6 linked regions of the Mus musculus genome follow. The protein of the gene in region 1 purifies or fractionates together with the protein of each later gene. This does not show direct contact. Links are inferred from orthologs where the notes say so. Each region holds a gene or a part of one and is shown in the gene's direction. Other genes may lie near its edges.

Evidence for each region.
Region 2: the proteins of Nup107 (region 1) and Seh1l purify together in Homo sapiens (affinity purification with mass spectrometry; 5 studies listed by BioGRID and IntAct, with this or other methods). This does not show direct contact. The link is inferred for Mus musculus from reciprocal best matches to the Homo sapiens genes NUP107 and SEH1L.
Region 3: the proteins of Nup107 (region 1) and Sec13 purify together in Homo sapiens (affinity purification with mass spectrometry; 8 studies listed by BioGRID and IntAct, counting the BioPlex papers as one, with this or other methods). This does not show direct contact. The link is inferred for Mus musculus from reciprocal best matches to the Homo sapiens genes NUP107 and SEC13.
Region 4: the proteins of Nup107 (region 1) and Nup43 purify together in Homo sapiens (affinity purification with mass spectrometry; 8 studies listed by BioGRID and IntAct, counting the BioPlex papers as one, with this or other methods). This does not show direct contact. The link is inferred for Mus musculus from reciprocal best matches to the Homo sapiens genes NUP107 and NUP43.
Region 5: the proteins of Nup107 (region 1) and Tpr fractionate together in Homo sapiens (co-fractionation; 4 studies listed by BioGRID and IntAct, with this or other methods). This does not show direct contact. The link is inferred for Mus musculus from reciprocal best matches to the Homo sapiens genes NUP107 and TPR.
Region 6: the proteins of Nup107 (region 1) and Nup37 purify together in Homo sapiens (affinity purification with mass spectrometry; 7 studies listed by BioGRID and IntAct, with this or other methods). This does not show direct contact. The link is inferred for Mus musculus from reciprocal best matches to the Homo sapiens genes NUP107 and NUP37.

The regions. Positions count from the first base shown.
Region 1 is NC_000076.6:117,768,706-117,772,205, reverse strand, and holds part of Nup107 (nuclear pore complex protein Nup107), read left to right. Parts: intron 1-812; coding exon 813-872; intron 873-1,684; coding exon 1,685-1,830; intron 1,831-1,969; coding exon 1,970-2,018; intron 2,019-3,500. UniProt on the Homo sapiens protein: Plays a role in the nuclear pore complex (NPC) assembly and/or maintenance. Required for the assembly of peripheral proteins into the NPC. May anchor NUP62 to the NPC. Involved in nephrogenesis.
Region 2 is NC_000084.6:67,773,427-67,777,675, forward strand, and holds the start of Seh1l (nucleoporin SEH1), read left to right. Parts: upstream 1-1,449; 5' UTR 1,450-1,583; coding exon 1,584-1,694; exon of another isoform or gene 1,695-2,265; intron 2,266-2,606; exon of another isoform or gene 2,607-2,846; intron 2,847-4,249. UniProt on the Homo sapiens protein: Component of the Nup107-160 subcomplex of the nuclear pore complex (NPC). The Nup107-160 subcomplex is required for the assembly of a functional NPC.
Region 3 is NC_000072.6:113,737,882-113,741,827, reverse strand, and holds the start of Sec13 (protein SEC13 homolog), read left to right. Parts: upstream 1-1,146; 5' UTR 1,147-1,180; coding exon 1,181-1,183; intron 1,184-3,829; coding exon 3,830-3,874; intron 3,875-3,946. UniProt on the Homo sapiens protein: Functions as a component of the nuclear pore complex (NPC) and the COPII coat. At the endoplasmic reticulum, SEC13 is involved in the biogenesis of COPII-coated vesicles.
Region 4 is NC_000076.6:7,674,004-7,677,503, forward strand, and holds part of Nup43 (nucleoporin Nup43), read left to right. Parts: intron 1-1,002; coding exon 1,003-1,154; intron 1,155-2,236; coding exon 2,237-2,359; intron 2,360-3,500. UniProt on the Homo sapiens protein: Component of the Nup107-160 subcomplex of the nuclear pore complex (NPC). The Nup107-160 subcomplex is required for the assembly of a functional NPC.
Region 5 is NC_000067.6:150,434,338-150,437,837, forward strand, and holds part of Tpr (nucleoprotein TPR), read left to right. Parts: intron 1-1,305; coding exon 1,306-1,578; intron 1,579-2,380; coding exon 2,381-2,529; intron 2,530-3,065; coding exon 3,066-3,149; intron 3,150-3,500.
Region 6 is NC_000076.6:88,170,992-88,174,491, forward strand, and holds part of Nup37 (nucleoporin Nup37), read left to right. Parts: intron 1-1,003; coding exon 1,004-1,094; intron 1,095-3,394; coding exon 3,395-3,500. UniProt on the Homo sapiens protein: Component of the Nup107-160 subcomplex of the nuclear pore complex (NPC). The Nup107-160 subcomplex is required for the assembly of a functional NPC.

The DNA.
Region 1 (3,500 bases):
TGATTATATGTAAGTACACTGTAGCTGTCCTCAGACACCCCAGAAGAGGGAGTCAGATCTCGTTACGGATGGTTGTGAGCCACCATGTGGTTGCTGGGATTTGAACTCTGGACCTTCAGAAGAACAGTCAGGTGCTCTTACCCACTGAGCCATCTCACCAGCCCACTTTTTTTTTTTAAACCCTGGAATTTGCTTGTTGAATTGGGTGTCAGAAAATTGAGAGGAAGTGTTTAAGAAGTGTAGCATGGCCATGCAAACTGATGTAACTGAGTCACAGACGTAACGAGGGGCCTGTTAGATTACCCAGCCACCAAGGGATACAGGCTGCCTGGGATGAGGAGTGGAAGCGGAGTCTCCAGAGTTGCTTCTTTGATGACAAGAAATGCTGACACACGGTTGACAGAGCCCTTAAAATGAAATGGGATAAGGTTGTGGTTGTCACTGTGCTTAGGAATGGGTCCCTAAAGCAGCAGTGACTCCTAAGCTCAGCGTTGTCCCCAGGCCAGCATGGGAAGGCATCGCTGCTGAGCCTCTGGAGGAGGAGCACCCGGTTCTGTGGAGGTTAAAACTCTACTCTGAGTGGCCAGAGCCTAACTGCAGTGGCCTTGTGTGTGTGCTCTCTGTATTTGAGATTTAATGTTGATTTTTGGGGGTCGGGGGGAGATTATTTGGTGAAACTAAAAAGCCCTCTCTGCTGCCCTAGACCTGTCACTTAAGAGCTAAGGGACTAGGATCTACCCAGAAGAATTGTGAAGAGACTCACACGCTCGGAGAAGTAATAATCACAAATGCTTTCGCTCGTTGTGTTTTAGGAACTTTTTAATAAATATGAAAGAGCGATTTACGCGGCACTGAGTGGGAACCTTAAGCAGGTATGCAGTGTGGGGATGCTGAACTCTTTCTGGGGAGTGAGACCGAATCCTTAAATGTCCATAGTTGTGTGCAGCAGACTTGAGCTGCTTCCTAAAAGCCTCCAAGCCAGAGCCCGCCAGACAGCAGGGCAGTGACAAGAGTGACGGCCTGCTTACTGGGAGGGACACTGCCCACTTATGTGTGCTTGTCAGGTTTTTGTTTCTCTGTATGGTTTTTTGATTATTAGCTTGCTTCTGTTGTTACTTTGTTATAGTTTCTTGATATATCACTCATTCTGGCTCTCACTTGCCTCTTTTTTTTATGTTTTTATTTGGGTTTTTGAGAGTAGGGACTTGCTTTGTAAATCAGGCTGCCCTTGAACTCATGACCCCACCCCCACCCCGGCCTCCTCAGTGGTGGGATTGTAGGGGTGCACTTGGTGCTTACATGGAGAATGCCAGCACCTGTTTCCTGATGACTCCTGTACCAGAGTCTGCAGAGATGCAGTGCGGAGACGGTGCATTTGGCCTTAAGCCCACAGACGTGTGTGTCCCCAGAGCCATCGGCTGTCCTGAGGCACGCTCTGATGTTTGAAATACCCTTCGATATTAGAATACAATGTGACTATGAACTTGGTATGGAAAAAGTCTTAATCATACAAACTTCTCAAAAGTTCTAGTTTGGGAGAAAGGTTACTTGGTATATATTTCTCAACCCCTCAGTGTCCCCTGTCATCAGAAGATGGCTTTTGAAGTTTGTAGTCAGTGGGTAATTGGTTTCCCTTTCTTTCTTGCTGACTGTATCATGTTTCTCTTTTGGAATGGATGAAAAGCTCCTTCCAGTCTGTGACACGTGGGAAGACACGGTGTGGGCCTACTTCCGGGTGATGGTGGATAGCCTGGTGGAGCAGGAGATTCGGACATCAGTAATGACGCAGGATGACAGTGAGGAGCTCCCTCGAGAGTACATGGAAGCCAAGTGAGTGGGACGCACGGCAGGCAGGCAGGCATGGTGGCACTGCACTGGGTCACTGCACGCACGCACGGCAGGGAGTTTGGTTGCACAGCACTCCTCAGGTGGTCATCTCTGTCCCTTTTTGTTTTTTCCTCTTTTGAAGTTGGACCTTAGAAAAAGTTTTTGAAGAACTTCAAGCCACTGATAAAAAGGTAAGTGTTAACAAAGCCTGTTACATGTATGTCACGTGTATGAAGTTGATGTTAGCATAGCCCGGTCCCATGTAGCATGTGCAGCTAATGTTACACAGTTGCTCAGTGTAGCTGAAAGGCAGAAAAGTCGGAAATCTCCTTTCTCATCGTTTCCTCACAGCTATGGAAATAAGGGACCTCAAAATTAATATTGATTGGAAAGGGCCTGATGGTCGTTATTGTCGCCCTAGCACCTAGAGGGCTGAGACAGGATCCTTGCCGCGATTTCTAGATGGCTGGGCTATATAGTGAGATCCTGTCTAAAAACAAAATGAAAAACATTTTTTGTTTTTTTCTTCTTCAGTAACTAGTATATATATGTACTTATAATGATAAAACAATTTTAATGTATGCCAGTAAGGCCTGCGTAACTCCTTCCAAACACCCCAACCTTATTTCCCCAGACAGTAAACAAACATACCAACACATACACACTGCATCTTTCTCCATGGCCTTCAAGTCCAAGTAAGCACTGTGGATGCTGAGGTACAGGGTTAGGCAGGCTCTGGATGCTGAGGTGCAGGGTTAGGCTCTGTGGATGCTGAGGTACAGGGTTAGGCAGGCTCTGGATGCTGAGGTACAAGGTTAGGCAGGCTCTGGATGCTGAGGTACAGGGTTAGGCAGTCTCTGGATGCTGAGGTACAGGGTTAGGCTCTGTGGATGCTGAGGTACAGGGTTAGGCTCTGTGGATGCTGAGGTACAGGGTTAGGCAGGCTCTGGATGCTGAGGTACAGGGTTAGGCTCTGGATGCTGAGGTACAGGGTTAGGCAGGCTCTGGATGCTGAGGTACAGGGTTAGGCAGGCTCTGGATGCTGAGGTACAGGGTTAGGCTCTGTGGATGCTGAGGTACAGGGTTAGGCAGGCTCTGGATGCTGAGGTACAGGGTTAGGCAGGCTCTGGATGCTGAGGTACAGGGTTAGGCAGGCTCTGGATGCTGAGGTACAGGGTTAGGCAGGCTCTGGATGCTGAGGTGCAGGGTTAGGCTCTGTGGATGCTGAGGTACAGGGTTAGGCAGGCTCTGTGGATGCTGAGGTACAGGGTTAGGCAGGCTCTGTGGATGCTGAGGTACAGGGTTAGGCAGGCTCTGGATGCTGAGGTACAGGGTTAGGCTCTGTGGATGCTGAGGTACAGGGTTAGGCAGGCTCTGGATGCTGAGGTACAGGGTTAGGCTCTGTCGATGCTGAGGTACAGGGTTAGGCAGGCTCTGGATGCTGAGGTACAGGGTTAGGCTCTGTGGATGCTGAGGTACAGGGTTAGGCAAGCTCTGGATGCTGAGGTACAGGGTTAGGCTCTGTGGATGCTGAGGTACAGGGTTAGGCAGGCTCTGTGGATGCTGAGGTACAGGGTTAGGCAGGCTCTGTGGATGCTGAGGTACAGGGTTAGGCTGATGCTGAGGTACAGCGTTGAAAAGGTTCAGATCATCTTTCCACTTAGTGGTAATCT
Region 2 (4,249 bases), on another chromosome or scaffold:
CTTTCAGTAAATGTTTACTGTCTTTAAACTTGGCTTTGAGGAGTTAGAACAATGGCTCAGCAGTTAAGGTTACTGGCTGCTTTTGCAGAGGACCTGGGTTGGGCTCCCAGTACCCACCAGGCAGCTCACACCCTGTATAACTCCAGTTCTAGGAGATTCAACAATCTCTTCTAGTCTCTACAGGTACTGCATATACATGCTATACTACAAACACGAAGGCAATCCACTCTTACATATAAAAATAAATACATCTCTAAAAAATGATAAACAGCTTTCATAAATGTTTACTTTTAAAAGTATAGACTTAATTGTACTTTTTTATTATAGTGTGTTTTGTTTCTGGGAATTAATGAATAGTTATTAGTTTTACACACAGCTGATGGACCTGGGCTCTACCTCTAAAATAGGAATAAAATCTCAGAAAGGATTACTTTTATTTATGTCTCTGTGTGTATGTTTATCTGTTGTGTGCAGGAAGAGTGAAGATCCTCAAGGAATCCAGATGTTTCAGATTCTCTGGAGCTGGAACTAAAATAAAGGTGGTGAGTCATTCAAGCCATGCCCCAGAGTTTATTAATTTAAAGATGAGTAAGGAAAACTCAAGACTGGTAAGATCATTTCACTATCGGTCTCTGCAGGTCTCTGTACAATTCCATCAGGGAACAAGTGGGTCCAGTTATTTTGAGACCCTTTAAAGTCTGCCTTTTAAAACGATTCCCATTCTTTAAACATCCTTATTTTTCTCTGTATGCATGTTTCACCTATATATATGTCTGTGCACCAAGTGTATCCTGGCGCTCATGGAACCAAAGTCAAGAGTTTGATCTCGTGGGAGTTAGACAGACAACCTCTCTCTCACCTAAAACCCTTGTAGAATGAATGTTCCACCACTTCCCGAGTTTGACTGACTCTCCTGATTTGAGCACTTTCCTTCACACGTTTCTCTTTGCAGGCTATTTTTGTTTGTTTTACTTACTTCTCCATTAAAGACTGGCTCCATTCAAGTAAATATTGGATATCCTTCTGGGTCTTGCCATCACCCCAGGTGACTTTCTAGAAAGTCTTTTTCCACATTCTGTTTTGCTGACACCCTTGAGCCTGCTGTACTTGTGCCATCTTTCATCACTGACTGCTGCTTCAGGTTCTCCACTCCTCTTCAATTTCATCCTTCGGGCGGACTTTGCACTCGCTGAGCGGGACTCCCTAAGCCACAACTTTGGGCGTCCCCATCATTCCTAAGAAGCTCTGGTTACGCGGTTGAACCACCCACTCAAATTGGCTGCGGGAAGTGTCTACTAGCTCTGTGCACGGATCACGTGTTTTCGGAGGCGCACACCCCCAGGCTGACCCCGGAAGGTGCTTTCACTTTTCCATCCTCCGTCTCCCAGCTTCGTCTGCTGCTGCAGCGAGGTCCGGACGCAGGCTCCGCCCGCGCAGGGCGTGTCCCTCGGGGCGTGGCGCGCCGGGGCCGACGCGGGCGGGCAGGCGAGGGCCGACGTGCCGTACGTGCCTCCGCGGTGGTCCGGGGGCTGCGGGCCGCACCGCCGCCCTCTCGGAGGCGGGCCCGGCAGACGGCGGCGGCCATGTTTGTGGCGCGCAGCATCGCGGCGGACCACAAGGACCTCATCCACGATGTGTCTTTCGACTTCCACGGGCGCCGGATGGCCACCTGCTCCAGCGATCAGAGCGTCAAGGTGCGCGCGGCACTCGCCGCTGCCCGGCCGGGAGGGGAGGGAGGCGGCGCAGAAGGGATTAGCCCGGACCGAGGCGCGTGCGAGCCGCAGCCGCCGACGCCGCCACGCCGGAAGCGGCGAGAGCCCTCCCCGCCGGCGGATTGTGGGGTCACGGCCTCCCGCGCTCGCGGCGTCTTCCTACCGCGCCTGCGCGGTGCGGCTCTCGGCCTGGGGCGCTCGCTAAGCGCACGCGCATGCTGGGCCTGCGGCGTGGGCCGCGGCTGTCGCGCTTGTGCGGACTTTGGGGTTCTTTTTCCTCTGGCGCTGTGTGTGTCATTCCTGTGGGCCTCGCCTGTGTTCCTCTGCCCAGGACACATGGGATGCCCTGAAGGGCTAATACACGCCAGTCACACACACACACGTTTTCTGAGATTATCTTAGACTCTAGACCCGGCTGTAGTCCTCCAGTCTCAGTTTCACCACGCTGGGGTTCCAAGTCTGAACTCCTTCACAACGCCAAAATAGCTGGACACCAGGTTTTAATTCTTGTTCATGTTCAAGTGGTCTCTGAAGATGGTTATCACAAGTGTGCGTTGAATGTGCTACGATGTTTTTTTTTTTTTTTTTTTTTTTTTTTTTTTTTTTGGGAGACAGGGTCTCAGTCCTGTATCCCCAAGTGATCTGCCTGCCTCTGCCGAGAGTGGTGTGATTAAATATGTGCGCCACCAGGAACGAGGCCACTCCCCTAACCCCACAATTTCAAAGACTTATTCGTGTGAGTGTTCTGTCTGCGTGTATGAAGGTGCACTACCTGGTGTCTTTGCGGGTCAGAAGAGGGAGTTAAGATTGTGATCCATCTTGTTGGGAGAACCGATCCTGGGTCCTTTGTTGGCCAAGGAGTGCAGCTGATTTATGTAGCAGACATCAAATTATAGCCTTTAGGAATGGTATTTACTAAGGTAATACAGCAATATTGGGAGAGAACGTACTTCTGCATTTCGATGCTTGCTTCCGTGCACAGACAACCAGTGAAGGGGCTACTTTAGCTGTCAGGCTACCAAACTGCCTGTGGCTTTCACAGCTTGGTCGCAGGATTGCTCGTCTCTGCTGCTTCTGCTGTAGTCACCCCTCTGGCATCTCTGCAGGTGATTTTGTGTGCTCGCTCTGTTCACGCTATTGAAAAAGAAAAAGACATCTCTCAAGCCTTTTATGAGGCCTATATCACATTAGGAGGGATGACCTACAGCTGACTGACTTAGTGAGCCTGAGTAGCCTGCTTGGAGAACCAGAGAAAGTGGTCTTTGAGCCACTTAGCCCTCAACCTTTTAGCACCTGTTACAGCAGTCCCTGCTAGGTCACTAGGTGGAATTGCCTGGTGGAAATGGTTGACGGTCCTCCAGAGTTCCTCAAAGCTTGTGAGAGAGTAAAAAGTGCCGGCAGCTGGGCTGGAGCTGTGCCTTCAGGATTGCAGTCAGGTGTAGTCATGGACACTTTTCTCTGGACTTGTGGGAGAGTTCTATATAGTTGGTGTTTGGATTAAGGGCAGTCAGGTTGTCCAGAGTACATTTTCTTTTCTTTTTTCTTTTTTGATACTACATCGTAGCTCAGGCTGTCTTGGAACTCCCTATGTGGAATAGATTGTCCTGGAACTCAGAGACCCAAGGGCTGGGATTAGAGGTGTGGGCCACTACTCCACTACTTTAGTACTTTATCTTACTCAAGAGGTTTGTGTTTATACACACTTTTTTAAAAAATCTGTGTAAATGATAGACTTTCTTTTAGGAAAAAGTTACTGTGGAGCTGGAGAGATAGCTTCATGATTAAGAGTGAGTATCCTCTTGAGATGAACTAAGCTTGGCTCTCAGCACTAATAGTCCGCGGCTCACAACCATCTGTAACTGCGGCTCCAGTAGATCCCGTGCACCAGTGCTGCCTTCTGGCTTCTCTGTGATCTTCACTCAGCGTGCATGCACACTTACACATGTAAATGATTCTTTAAAAAAAGTAACTAGTAAGTTCCTTGCTATCTGAACAACTCACTGTATTTACCAATCTTCTCCGTTCTTTGAATGTTTTTTTACTTTTAAAGAATGTCCTCAAGCTGGATGTGGTAGCACACGCCTTTAATCCCAGCTCCTGGGAGGCTGGGGTAGTTGGATTAGTTCCAGGCCAGTGTGGTCTACATAGTGGGTTCCAGGACAGTCAGCACTATGTAGAGAGACCCTGTCTTAAAAACAAAAGGCTGGGAGGTGGTGGTGTATGCCTTTAATCCTAGCACTCAAGAGGTAGAGACCAGCTTGGTTAACAGAGTGAGTTCCAGGACTACATAGTGAAACAAAACAAAACAAACAGATTTTTGTCAAGTTCATTCTGGGATAGTTGAATGCCTGTGCTGACTTTATAAGGTTCATTATTTGTATATGTGCATGTATGTGTGCCTGTATGAGGTCAGAAGGAACTGATCCCTTGGAGTTTCAGGCAGTTGTGAGCCATATGTGGGTGCTGAGAACTGAACCAGGGTCCACTACAAGAGCAGTAAGTGTTCTTAATTGCTGAGCCATCTTTCTAACCTCTTC
Region 3 (3,946 bases), on another chromosome or scaffold:
GTAGAGCCCTGGCTGTCCTGGAACTCACTCTGTAGACCAGGCTGGCCTTCAATTCAGAAATCTGCCTGCTTCTGCCTCCCAAGTGCTGGGATTAAAGGCATGCGCCACCACTGCCCAGCAAAGGATTTAGCTAATGGGAGTGGAGGTTCTACTCTGGGCCACTTGGCTTCTAAGTGTGGTGGGGAAATGTGACCACGTGCATCTGAGGAGCTGCCCTGGGGCTCTGTGTTCCCCTTTCAGTGCTGTGTAAGCACCAAAGCTAAAAACAAGAGTTTGGGGAGGTTCCAGTTGTTCTCCCTTGAAACAGTCAGACTCCCAGGGACTTGAGACTCTCTGCTTGCCATCCCTTAAGAAAGCTGGTGCATTTTTGTATACTATCATATCAACTAACAATGAAGCTTTGACTTCTTCCGTTTCAATTTGTATCCCCTTGATCTCATTTAATTGTCTTTTTGTTCTAGGTAGAACTTCAAGTACTATGTTGAATAGATAGTGAGAGAGTGGTCAGCCTTGTCTTGTCCCTGAATTTAGTGGAATTGCTTTATCCATCAACGTAATTTACCATATAAACAAACTGAAAAAAGCCCACATGATCATCTCATTAGATGATGAAAAAGCCCTTAACAATATCCAATACCCCTTCATGTTAAAAGTCTTAAAGGGATTATGGATACAAGGACCATACCTAAACATAATAAGGCAATATACAGCAAGCCAATAGTCAACATCAAATTAAATGGAAAGAAACTTAAGCAAGACCTAACAAAGCACTAGCCCAGTCTACTTGAGAAATTAACCTCTACGATGGTCATGATAAGCCAGTGGGACCCGGAACCCGCAGAAAAGGAGAGTGAAGCTATAATGACTAGTCATTTTATGTATGCATCTCAGGAACCAGAAAAAACTTAGTCTAAATAAAAAACCTGCTAGCGACGGCTTCAAATCATAAAATCCCTGGATTAGGGTCGCCACAGCAACCAGAGCCCAACAGTAGCCAAGATAAAGGCAGAACTGCAGGAGGGCGGGGCCGAGGATCCAGAAGACGCGGAACCTTTGTGTGAGTCGAGTGTGTTGCTGACCGGAAGATCCTGGGTGACAGCCTGCCGGCTGCGGGCCGGCACCGGAAGTGAAGCGTTTTGAGCTGCCACGTCCGAGGCCGTGGGTCGCCGCTGCTGCAGCTATGGTAAGTGTCGCGATCCCTGCGATAGTCGTGGCTTTGAGACAGACCACCTCTACGTCCTCAAAGTTTGCTTGTCCTGCCTCTCTCTGGGTCTCGGAGCGGGAATTTAAGGCAAGGCCACTGGGCCTTCCGGAACTCATAGGCCCGGGCTGCGAGCCCACCTCCTGCCCGTCTCGTGTCTTGTCCTCCAGAATTGGAAAAACAGCCAAAGCTATCATAGGATCTACTGCCTGACAAGCCCTTAGTGCGTTCCCACGATCGCTCACATCCTCTGCCTGCGCGTAGCCTGCGGAGCAGATGCTACTATCATCAACACTTGGGCTAGGCAGTGGCAAGCTAAGATCCAAATTCTCCTCATCATTCGCCCTGCCACCCACTACCTCAGCAAAGGAGGTGGAGGGATCAGTTGCTTGGACACAGGACTCCCATGTGTGATGGTCCCTTCGGGAAACTGATGACAGGCCTAGCTGAGTGACTCCAGGGCATCGTCTCAGCTTTTTATTTCTGTTTCTTATTTTTGAATTTACATGGCCTCTGTGGTATGTCTTTCACCGCACCCCACTCCGTATAATACTAAGGGAATGAAACTCTGGAAGTCTTAGACCCTGGTTGGCGCAGCGGTGCAAGGAGCTGCCTCCTTCTGTTGGCCTTTGGCTCTTTTGTTGCCAAGTTGGAGACTCATACACAGGTTCATTCTAAGTTTGTACCTGGTGTGATTCTGATGAGCTGAACTGTTTTGAGTGCAGCTTCTTACTGTGTTCCAGCAAGCGCATAAGTGTCCTTATAAGATGCTCCGGAGGACTGCTCCAAGAGCTTTAAAATACATAGCATCCCAAAGTGTGGATCATAACCCATGGCTGCTGGTTAAGAATGGTCATAAGGATGCCAGCTTTCCAAAGTCCTGTGGGTCACCAATAGAAAATTACTTTTCCTTGAGCCAGTTGGGATTGTGGGGAATTCTTGGTCACATCACCCACCTTATATTGGTGTGTGTTGGGGGAGGGGGTTAGAGGATTAGTAGATAAGATTGTTGCCAGCAGTGTGGTTTTGGTAAGGGTGTTTTCTTCACTGCCACCTTAAATTGATTAGTTTTTCTGTTGACTATAATTGATTGCTCCTGGTGCCTCTCCAATGCTCACGGGAAAATGTCATTGTCTCCAGGCAGGTGCTGCTCCTCTTTCTCTAATCTTTGCCGACACTTTTCAGAGCATTTAAGATTCTCAAGGAAACACACTTACTTATTCAGTGTGTGCCTTCTGAATGCCTTGCCGCCGTACTCTCCCAGGGTCTACCTTTCTGAAAAAATAGCCCAGGCTGTTGGAGAATTCTTGATCCACCCTCTTGATCCTCCAGAGTGTTAAGGATCTGCAACACCACACCTGCCTTGAGGAGTCAGGCTTTGTAATTGCAAAGTTTGCACTGGGAAAGGTGACTTGTTGGAAATGGTGAGAAATGTCAGTCTCAAATGGAAGCTACCTTTTCAATCCACTTTTCTCTCCCAAGAATTTAATAGTGGATGAGAGAAGAAAAAAAAAAAGATGTGTGTCTTTGCTCTTTTATTAACTCAGTAGGTAGTTACTAAGTTCTTTCTATCTGTAAAAAACATTGTGCTAAATAACTTAAAGAGATTCAAAGCTGAGGTGTGTGATGGTGCCTACCTTTAGTCCGAGCACTCAAGGCAGAAGCAGATAAATCCCAGGGCTGGAGGCAGCCTGGTCTATGCAGTGAGTTCTAGGCAGCTAGACCTATTTACTAAGACAGACAGCGAATGCATCAAAGCTACAGATAGTTTCAAGGAGCTTACCTTCTCTAGCAGAGAAGTAGCATCAAGCTCTATAGCTGTCATGGCTGTTGTGTATGTAAGAGTTTAGCTAGTTGGGGATCAAGGGAGGCTGATTTAAATCAAATGGAGAAATCGCTGGTGTCCATCACAACTGTTTTTGGCCTCTACAGACTATCAGACCTGGGTCCCACAAGGTGAAAAACTAGATGGGCCTTTCACGGTTCATAGTAGGCCAGAGAGTAACCTCAGAGGTAACTAAAGCCAAATCCTTGTCTTGACTTATATAACTTGTTTCACATAAACTGTCTGGGCCATCAGAATCGCTTGCGATGCAGAAAGGGAGCGTGAACTCTGTCCCAGCTTGGTCCCACTGACTGTCTTTGCCCATGCTAACCTTTCGTGCTTGGATCATATCTTCTCTCTGAGCAACAAGGTTTTCATCCCTTAAGGCAGCTGTGTATCCCCTTCATCCTGGGCTCTTTCTGCCCACACAAACCGCAGTATGGCTGATGTGGCTACTGGTAGGTTGTTCACACGCGAGCTCCTCTGAGGCAAGAGCTGCGGCTCCACACTGTGCAGTCCTTTACACGGGGCTTAATGCCAAGAAGATCCTCAGCCGGAAGTAAAAATGCACATATGTAATCCTGGCATTTGGGAGGCTGAAGCAGGAGGATACTGAGTTCAACGCAAGACTGAACTACATGATGAGAGCCAGTCACACGAAAAATAAAAAGAAAGCGTTTATAGAATGAGCGTGCTAGTGAATGAATGAGTGAATGCCCGTAAGAACTTTAGAAGCAATTGGTGCTTTAATGAGATGACTGGTGGCTGCTGTCGATGAATTCACAGAATGTCTTTGGTTCTAGGTGTCAGTAATGAACACTGTGGACACCTCTCATGAGGACATGATTGTAAGTATCCACGCAGCCCTTCTCCTGGGCCTGGACATGGGCAGCCTCAGTAGGCGTTTACTGTATATTAGT
Region 4 (3,500 bases), about 110 Mb from region 1:
CCATGATTAAACTGATGAAGCCAAGGTAACACAATGGAGTTGATTCTACCATCTTACATTAGCATGTACTTGTATTGATTCAGAGCCTTTATGTCTTTGAAGTATATATTGTTTAAAAGAGAACTTGTTTCTTTTTATCAAATGATTATATGATAGAGGGTTATAAATACACTGTAGATGTGATTGCAGATAAAATAAAATTCAGGGTCATTATTCTTTTTTTCTTTTTTTTTTTTTTTTTTTTTTTTTTTTGGTTTATCGAGACAGGGTTTCTCTGTGTAGCCCTGGCTGTCCTGGAACTCACTTTGTAGACCAGGCTGGCCTCAAACTCAGAAATCCGCCTGCCTCTGCCTCCCAAGTGCTGGGATTAAAGGTGTGTGCCACCACCGCCCGGCAGGGTCATTTTTCCAGAGCTTTTTAGATGTGTAATCTTTGCTCCTTTCTTAAGAAACTAGAATGTACTATCAGACTAGAAAAAATTTATATGAACTAATTAATATAGGCATAAAGAATGGCTGCTGTAATTGATATTTAGTTTTACTTTTAAATTGTAGTTAGACTATGTATTGGCGTGGCTTAGCTATGTGCATGTGATTGCAGGTACCCACAGGCCAGGTTTGTAGGATACTCCTGGAACTGGGCTGACATACGACTGGGAGCCACTGATGTGGGGGCATGAACTTGGGTCCTCTGGAACAGTATCTGCCCAGAACTACTGAGCCAGCTCTCTTGCTGGACACATACTTTTTAATAGAAATCTTTCTTACACATCTTACCATTATGTTATTTTGCCTCCTAGCCTTTAATTCTAAACTTTTATTACTCATATATATATATATATATATATTTACCATTTAGTTGAAATTTTTTGTTTTCACTAAGATTTAGTGTCTCCAGCCACATAACTATTTACCATTTAGTTAGTGGAATGAAATGTTTCTTATTAGGCAAAGATAAATTGTTTTTTACCATATCTTTTGATATTGTTCTGTCTTCCTTAAGGACTGGTGACCGAGTGCCACTCCACTGTGTTGACAGACATCCAGACCAGCAGCATGTTGTAGCTACCGGTGGCCAGGATGGAATGTTGAGTATTTGGGATGTCAGACAAGGTACCATGCCTGTGTCATTACTGAAGGCTCATGAGGCTGAAAGTAAGTATTGTGGGGACACAAAGCTTGCATTGAATGAGTTTCTCATGAGCATGAAGTGATTCATAGGGACCATTTCACATCAGCGCTTTTAGTATCTGGCCCGTATAAGCCAGATAATCTCTTCCTCTGTTTACGCCCTTTAATGTTCGTTCATCATATCTACAACTGCAGTCAGTATTACTACATGCTCCTCTTACTGAGCTGATGGCCTTAGGTTTTTTGTTTTGTGTTTTCTTTTTTCTCAAAACTAGAACCTATGGACCAAACCGTCATACTTCATGTTGTCAGGTTACTGACTGTTCTGTATAAAATTATCACTTAATATTTCCTAATTTATGAATTCATTAATTTTGTGCAGTTTTGAGATAGGATCTCACTTTGTAGTCCAGGTAAGCCTGGATTTTACTGTATACCAAACTAGACTTGACTATACCACAGTCCTCCTGCCTTAGCTTCCTATGTGCTGAGATTACAGGCATGAGCCACCACTCTTTGATAAAATATATTCCCATTCCCTATTACTGGGGAATGAGCCAGGACCTTAAGGGTGTACTCTGTCCCTGAGCTATATCACAAGGTCCAACTGATCTTTTTGTTTGATATTCCTTTTTAGAAAGACTCTTTCCTAGGGGATCTGACACCCTCTTCTGGCTTTTACTCAAATAGAAATACAAGAAAGCAAACATCAAAACAGTACTGCAACATGACCTGGTTTATGAGATGTTCATCCAGAAAGGTGTGATCCCAGCAGCTAGGTCACAGAGGCAGGAGGACTAAGAGTTCAAGGCCAACCTGTGTCACAGCTGCTGGGATCACACTAAAAGATAAAAGCTGAGAATCTTATTCCTGTGCAGATGAGCTGGGGTACCTATAAACTTTAAGTCTATTGAAAATCAAAGGCTTCAAAAGAGAGCCCTATCTGGAAAAACAAAAAACAACAAAACAAGAAAATGTAAAGAGATGCAGACTATAAGTAACCTTTTGGTGACTATAACATGAAGATAGGTAAGGGCCACTACTTGTGGGTAGGCCATAAAATAACCTCTGTGGATTACTAAAATTGATTTCCTTCTGTCTTTTAGTGTGGGAGGTTCACTTCCACCCGTCCAACCCAGATCACCTGTTCACTTGTTCTGAAGATGGATCTCTCTGGCATTGGGATGCCTCCACAGATGCACCTGAAAAGTCTTCTCTCTTTCACCAAGGTAAAGGTTCTTGTGTGCTGCTTTAGGATATTTTAAATGTTGAGTCAGAATCTTGCTATGTAGACCAGGTTTGGCCTCAAACTCAAAGAGATTTACCTGCCTCTGCCTAGGAATGTTTTGCCTGCATGTATGTGGGTGTACCACATCTGTACAGTGACCACAGACACCATCTCTAGCTTGAACATTCTCAGGAGTTAAGAACACTGACCATAATAAGACAGGAAATAATTGGAATAAGACAGGAAATAATTGGGCAGAATACACAAAATTATTGTGTAGAAGAGTAAGCAGACCAGATGGATAAAGAAAAAGGGCAAGATAGGCCTAGAGAGAGTGTAGTCTCAGCAGTTGAGAGCTGCAGGCAGGATCATCAATGTAAGGCCATTCTAAGCTATATATAGAGTTTAAGGCCAGCCAGGGCTACATGAGACCGTTTCCAAAAAACAAAACAAGAGAGGGGGAGGAGGGGCTGGAGAGTTGGTTCAACAGTTAAGAAGAGCACTGGCTGCTCCTCTAAAGGACCCTGTTTCAATTCACACTATCAACATGATAGGTCACAACCATCTGTAATTCCAGTTTTAGGGGATCCAATGCCTTCCTCCAGTCTCCAGGCACCAGGCACACACATGAAATAGACATACATGCAGGCAAAACACCCATACATACAAAATAAAACAACCAAGGGCGAATGCAAAAGGAAAGACTCATTTAATTTTTAATTATGTTTTTTGCATGTTTATATTCGTCAATGTGTATATAAGTGTAGTTGGCAGCTGAGGCCACATCAGATCCCCTGAAGCTGGAGTTACAGGTGGTTGTAAGCCATCTGTCTGTCTTGGGTACTGGGAACTGAACCCAGGTCCTTTGTAAGAATAGCATGTGTTCTTAACAGCTAAGCCATCTCTTGGGCCCTGGAAGTTCATTCGCATGAACTAGGAACTTATATTTTGTTTGTTTGTTGAGACAGGTTCTCTTTATGGAGTCCTGGCTGTCCTGGAACTCACTAGGTAGCCCAGGCTGACATTGTACTCAAAGGTCCTCTACCTCCCAAGTGAGGAACTTGTATCTCTGTGTACATTTTGGGTTCTTCTTTCCTTACATTTGGTTGTTTATGGTACCTCTCTTTCCATTAAACTTTCCA
Region 5 (3,500 bases), on another chromosome or scaffold:
ATATGCTATGAAATCCATTTTGGAAAACCATAGTATAAAATTGCTCTTTCAAATCGAATATCATCCTTTCACCGGAGCTCCCTGCACTTCCTGATGCTTTCTCTTACTCTCTTCCCATTGAATTGTAGTAATTCGATCATTGCACTTGATTTCACGTGTACTTTTCAATCTACTATATTAGGAATCAGAGTTTCATTTTCTTCGTTGTTCAATCTCTTTCCTTAACAAGTAGATGTTCAATAAAAGGTTTGCAAGATCTTAAACTGCTTTGATGTGTTAGAATTGAGTAAATGTACAGGTAGTTGTTGGTGTTAAATACCTTTTATCTCATCAGAAAGAGAGGTAGGCAGGTAGGTATCTAGTTCAAGGCCAACCAAAGTTCTATAGAAAGACCATGTCCCCAACAATGTGTCTTAGTCAGGGTTTCTACTCCTGCGGGGTTTATTCAGCTTACACTTCCACATTGCTGTTCATCACCAAAAGAAGTCAGGACTGGAACTCAAGCAGGTCAGGAAGCAGGAGCTGATGCAGAGGCCATGGAGGGATGTTACTTACTGGCTTGCTTACCCTGGCTTGCTCAGCTTGCTTTCTTAAAGAACCCAGAGCTACCAGCCCAGGGATTGTACCACCCACAATGGGCTGAGCCCTCCACCCTTCGTTGAGAAAATGCCTTACAACTAGATCTCATGGAGGCATTTCCTCAAGGGAGGCTCCTTTATTTGTGATAACTTCAGCCTGTATCAAGTTGACACACAAAACCAGCCAGTACACAATGTATAATGTAAACACTCCAAAAATAAATATATATCCTCCATTCAATAAAAGATTAACAGATAGATTACCAAACTAAACTTTTTTTTTTTAGGACAGAGAAACTTTGGTTGGTTGGTTGGTTGGTTGGTTGGTTGGTTTTGTGCGGTTAAGGATCAAACCTTACGCATGTACAAACACTGTACCATTCAGCTCTGAACCCATTTCCTGTTTTCATGGTGTCATTGTGATACCAGTTAAAAACAAAATTTCTCACCATGTTCAGCTTCTTAATGTTAATTACATCTGGTTATAATTTTATTAGACCAATAAATAGTACAACACTTTCAAACATGTACTTACCCACCAAATATTACATACTACTGTATTAGACACATAGGCAGTACAATATATAACTTTTGTGCACATTTTTGTGTATTAAATGGTAAGACATAGAAAAAACAGTTAATAAGATGTATGTCAAAGAATAAGGTAAAATAACTCAGTTTTGGTAGATTAGAAGGCATACTTACTAAATATTGTCATTGTTTTCAGCTATGCAGTCAGAAGGGCCTGTGGAACATGTTCCAGTATTTGGAAACGCAAGTGGATCTGTTCGTTCTACTAGTCCTAATGTTCAGCCCTCCATTTCTCAGCCCATCCTAACTGTACAGCAGCAAACACAAGCTACAGCTTTTGTACAACCCACTCAACAGAGCCACCCGCAGATTGAGCCTACAAATCAAGAATTGTCCCCAAACATAGTTGAGGTAGTACAAAGTTCCCCAGTGGAGCGTCCATCTACTTCCACAGCAGTATTTGGCACTGGTAAGATTTCATTTTAATATTTTCTATTGTTTTATTTTATGTCTATGGATGCTCTGTCTCTGTATATTTGGGTGTCATGTACGAGCCTAGTGTCCACAGAGATCAAAGAAGGGCATCATATCCCCGGAAACTGTAGTGACAGGTATTGGGGACTGACCCTGGGTCCTCTTGAAGAGCATCAGTGCTCTTAACTGGTTGCTTAAGATGGCTAAGCCATCTTCTAGACTAATAAGATTAATTTTTAAAATGAAGCTGCAGTAGACATATATGCTTCACATTTCTTAGGTGCAATACATCTTGACTATTGCCTAAAACAATTTGCTTTCTATCCAGTGTTACTATGAAGAAAGAAAATATTTTTATTTAGTTTTAATCATACTTAACAGTAGATACAAGAACAGTTCAAATGTGCGCTTGATGTAGCTTAAAAATTACATTTATTGTAATTTAAATTATTAGAAAATAATATTCATATTTACTATTAGTTCAATTTCAGTTTTTATCATTAAGTAAAAGCCCTCCTACCCCCAGATATTTTGGGCTGTTTTTAAAGGGGAAAAATAGCCAACATATTATATGTAACTTAATGTGAATCCTGAAAATTAAAGCTGTTCATATTATTTAGCATATACAGTATGATTTTTCTTTATTTTTATAGAAAGTCCTATGTAAACTTTGTAAATAGCAATTTATCAGATGTGTCATACAAAGTTCTAGTTTTAAGACTGGTTGTAATATTATCTTTGTCTAAATGAAGTTACCATGATCTGACTTTTGAGGTTGAAATTGTATGATCTGAAAGTTTCAGCTACCCCAAGTTCCTCCTTGCCAAAGCGCACTCGGGAGGAGGAAGAGGACAGCACCATGGAAGCAGGAGACCAAGTCTCTGAGGACACAGTGGAAATGCCTCTCCCGAAGAAGCTGAAGATGGTCACACCCGTTGGAACCGAGGTCTGTCACACTCCTGTGTATTACCATTGCATCAGCAGCTAAGAGCTAGCTGTCAGTCATACTCAATGTCAAATTAAGTTTTGGGAGATTATCCTAAAAATTCCTGAACTGTAGTTTTCACTTATAGCTAAGGTATTTTGCCATTATCACTTGGTTTATAGTCTTTGCATATCTTTTCATGAATTCCTTCCCATTTAATAAAAGCAGAAGCAAATTAAATTCTGCTTTTGTAAGGAAGTCTAGTCATTGGCATTCTGCACATTGACATTACTTGCCATGTGATTTTAAGATTAAGGCTAGCCAAAATTACGTTCCTTTTCAACCATAGACTGTGATGAGTTAGGTTGTATAACAGTAATAATACTAAATGTTATACGTGTGTATTCATTAATGTTCGTTGAAGAAGTATTTGAGTATGTTTATATAAACATTTGTGGCACAGCTTCATAGAATTGTCGACTTAACGTTTTAGAGAAACACTGATGACGATTCGTGTAGTTCACTGACTCAGTAAGAAATAACCTATTATGATTTAGGAAGAAGTTATGGCAGAAGAAAGTACTGATGGAGAGGCAGAAACTCAAGCCTATAATCAGGACTCTCAAGATTCCATTGGAGAAGTGAGTAAACATATACAACTATTAAAAATCAATTGTTTTGACCTATTGAAACACTACTTGCTTTTTTTTTTTTTTTTTTTTTTTTTGGTTTTTTGAGACAGGGTTTCTCTGTGTAGCTCTGGCTGTCCTGGAACTCATTTTGTAGACCAGGCTGGCCTCGGAACTCAGAAATCCGCCTGCCTCTGCCTCCTGAGTGCTGGGATTAAAGGCGTGCGCCACCACGCCCGGCTCACTACTTGCATTTTTAAATTTGTTTTGTTTTGCTTTTTGAGGCAAGTTTTTACCATGTAGCCTAGGCTAGCCTTAAATTCAGACAGCCCTGCTTTTTTTAAGTGTTGGAATTACAGGCAT
Region 6 (3,500 bases), about 30 Mb from region 1:
AAAAAACTTAGCCTACTTTAATTTTTAAAACTTCTTTATAGTCCTAAAGAAGTCAAGAACTATAAAACCTACAAGAGAAAGGAGAAATCCTCATGAATGCATTTGATTATTGTTAGGAGATTGCTCAGCATGGACCCCAGAGCCTCGTGTATGCTAAACACACACTCCACTGAGCTGTGCTCCTCAGCATTGAATGTGTTCACTTGGGGACCGAAATGCCGGAGGCACTTTGTTACCCATCGGTCATGGAACTTATGTTTCCTGACATGCTAGCTCCACTCAGCACAGCGTAACAGTGGCTGACTAAGAACCAATTGTGAGCTAGCCAAAAATCATAGTTCCCAAGGACAGTACTCTCACATCCAAGTGCCATGCCTGTGACTTCTGAGATTAAAAGCCATTGAGATGAAGAGCCGTATTTGTGAGTAAGTTGATGCTTATTGATAGACAGTACAGAACCCGTACAGACAGGACAGTGCTTCTCTAGTCCATCTTTAATCTGGCAACTGCTAAGCATGGCCCTCTTGGGAGAAAACATTAGAGAAGTCAGACAGATGAGAACTTGTATAAGATAGGACATCCCCAAAGTACGTTGTATAAGTAGAAGGAATGAGCATTGTGGGAAATGACTCTCCTACTAAAAGCCTGTCACTTCACATTGGCTTCTTCATGGGTTACTCTGAAAATAGAAAGGCTGGTGTGGGGAGAGAGGGAGAGACAGAGACAGAGACAGAGACAGAGAACACCTTGGGTAGGAATAATTGTTATTAGAAATGACTTAAATAGGCTTGCAACCTGATTAATGTGTGTGCCACCACGCCCAGCGTAAAACTTAAATTCTGTATGCTCCTTTTATATTTTCCAATGACTATTTTTTCTCAAAGATGTTTATCAAATACAAATACATGTAATAATACATAGGTAATGACTTTAAATACATTTGTCAAAGTTTCATTTATTTTATTTTGTAGTGATGTATTTAACATCCATACTGTTTTATTAGGATTTGGAACTTGGAAGGAAAGCAGACAGCTCATTTTCTTCTGCATTCTCCTGGAATGAGTGTATGCTGGCATCCCGAGGAAACTTTCAAGGTTGTTATCTATAACTTAAATTTCCTTTACCAAGTTTAAAAGGCACACAGGTATAATCCTCATACCCATAAAGGAAAGGACCAATGGCTTTCTACCTCAGGCACAGATTAGTACAATTGCATTTGAGTTTTATAGAAATAAATACGTTCATAGTTTCTCGAAAACTGTTAGCTTTTTTGCAACTATCATTCATATATACAGAGTGTGCTTTTCCTGGCCCTTGGCAGATTACAGCCTAAAAATTGGTATTCAGTCTAGTTAGCAGTATGCAGTTTTCAAAAAAGAAAAAAGAAATCGAAGTTAAATCCATGCATATGAGCCATATATAAACAAGAAGTGTCAGTGGCATAAGGCGCATGTGTCCTAGATTAGAGGCACTCAAAGCTTTCTAAAGTACTAATGAGTTTTAAATACCAGTTAGCCGTAATTCATGGTGAAAACAGGAGCCATTCAACACGTTCTCTCATAGAATGCGAATGCCGTGTGCACCTCAGAATGAACCCTGCAGCTTCTCCTGCAGCCATACACCTCCCTTGGACACCTGAGTTCCATAGACCTCTGACATCCTCATGTTTTTTCATTTCACTGTTCTGCCCTCAGTTTTGCACAAAAGATAGAGTTTATTGATCCTGTCTACCAAATATACATTGTTAAAGCTTTTTCTCAATATACAATTATATTATGGCAACTTCTTTTTAAATTTAAGGCTGTTTCCTACCTATTATTTCTAAATGTTTGGATATATTTTCCTTTTTTTTTTTTTTGTTGTTCTAGCTTTCTTTCATTATTGTCGTGCATATTTTGTTCTTATTGATTACTATACCCCACTGCCCTTCCACTGTCTTCCTACCTTCTTATTGGTCCCCTTCTTGTCCTCCAAGACCTCCATCATTCCTTCACGTCACAGTATTCTCTGACCCTCTGATATTAGAATACCCTTTCTTCTTCACTTCTCATAGGTCCCCTTTTGAGTTTCATGGTGTGTGTGTGTGTGTGTGTGTGTGTGTGTGTGTGTGTGTGTGTGTGTGTTTGTGTGTTTGTACATATGTGTGTTCATAGATGTGTCTAGTGATTACTGCTACACTATTCAGAATAGCTAACAAATAGTCTAAATGTTTATCAATGGATAAAGGAAATGTATATGTACACACACAATTGGATTTTAGTATTTAGCCATAGAAAAAAATTGTCACAACATTTGCAGGTCAGTTGGTGCAAATTGAAACCTATACAAAGTAAATAAGTAAGACTTATTCTTGTGTTTTCTTTAAGTTCAGATCCTAGATTTTAACTTTTATATTGGTGTATATATACAGGAGGCTTAGGTCAACAGGGGTCATCCCTCTTTTAACTTGACTTGTACTTCATAATTATGATCTAACTCCGCAATTTCAGTTAGTTATTATGCTCCCAAATTACCACAATGCATTAGAGAATGTTCTCCTTCCCCCTCATTCTTAAATGGAGACAGCTTTAACATGGTGAATGCCTATTTCTTGAAACTAGTCCTGATGAATACATGTGCATGTGTGAGTGTGTGTGTGTGTGTGTGTGTGTGTGTGTGTGTGTGTTTCTTTGTACATTCTGTTTGAAATTTGTTTTCCCTCTTGTAAATAATTAAAAACAAACTCCAAGCCATTGAACACATTAAATATTAGAACTTAGGTTTCTGACCAGTCCCCACTCTTTCCACTCTGTCACTGCTACCTCACACTTCCAGATGTCTGCACCTGAATGAAACAAACATTCTCAGAAAGAAGGGACTTTACACAGTAGATAAAGCATATTCATGGATAATAGCTATTAATACCCTGTCCAGCATACTTGGAAAAATCTTGTTCGTTATAGATGATATTCTGTGACATGTTTTCATAAATCTAAGAAACAGTTTTCATATTGTAATTTTTTTAAGATTGGGATTTATTGTATAAATTTATGCATTTGGTTACGTATTTCATATATTTCATAACAATTTATTAAACATCTAAAATTATTGGAATCATTTCAATTATTGGAGTCTTATAACAAGGAAATACTGAGTTACAAGGGATTACTAATACTAATAATAGCCACTCTTTTCTTGATTTAAGAGTTCAATATTTACTAGGTGCTTGTAGAACAAGCCTATAGGTATCTCTGATACTTATGCATTTGGCTTCTGCTTGTGATATATATGTGTGTATATATACATACGTGTGTGATATATGTTTATTTTTCTTTTATGACATTGAATCTGCTTCTTTCTCAAATTTAGCTGATGAGATACATGTAGAATTTTCTTGTTCCACCCTGTATTACAGCTAATGGTTGCAGAGAAGAATGGAACAATCCGGTTTTATGATCTAATGGCTCAGCAGGCAATTTTATCTCTTCAGTCAGAGCAGACACCCTTAATGTCAGCACACT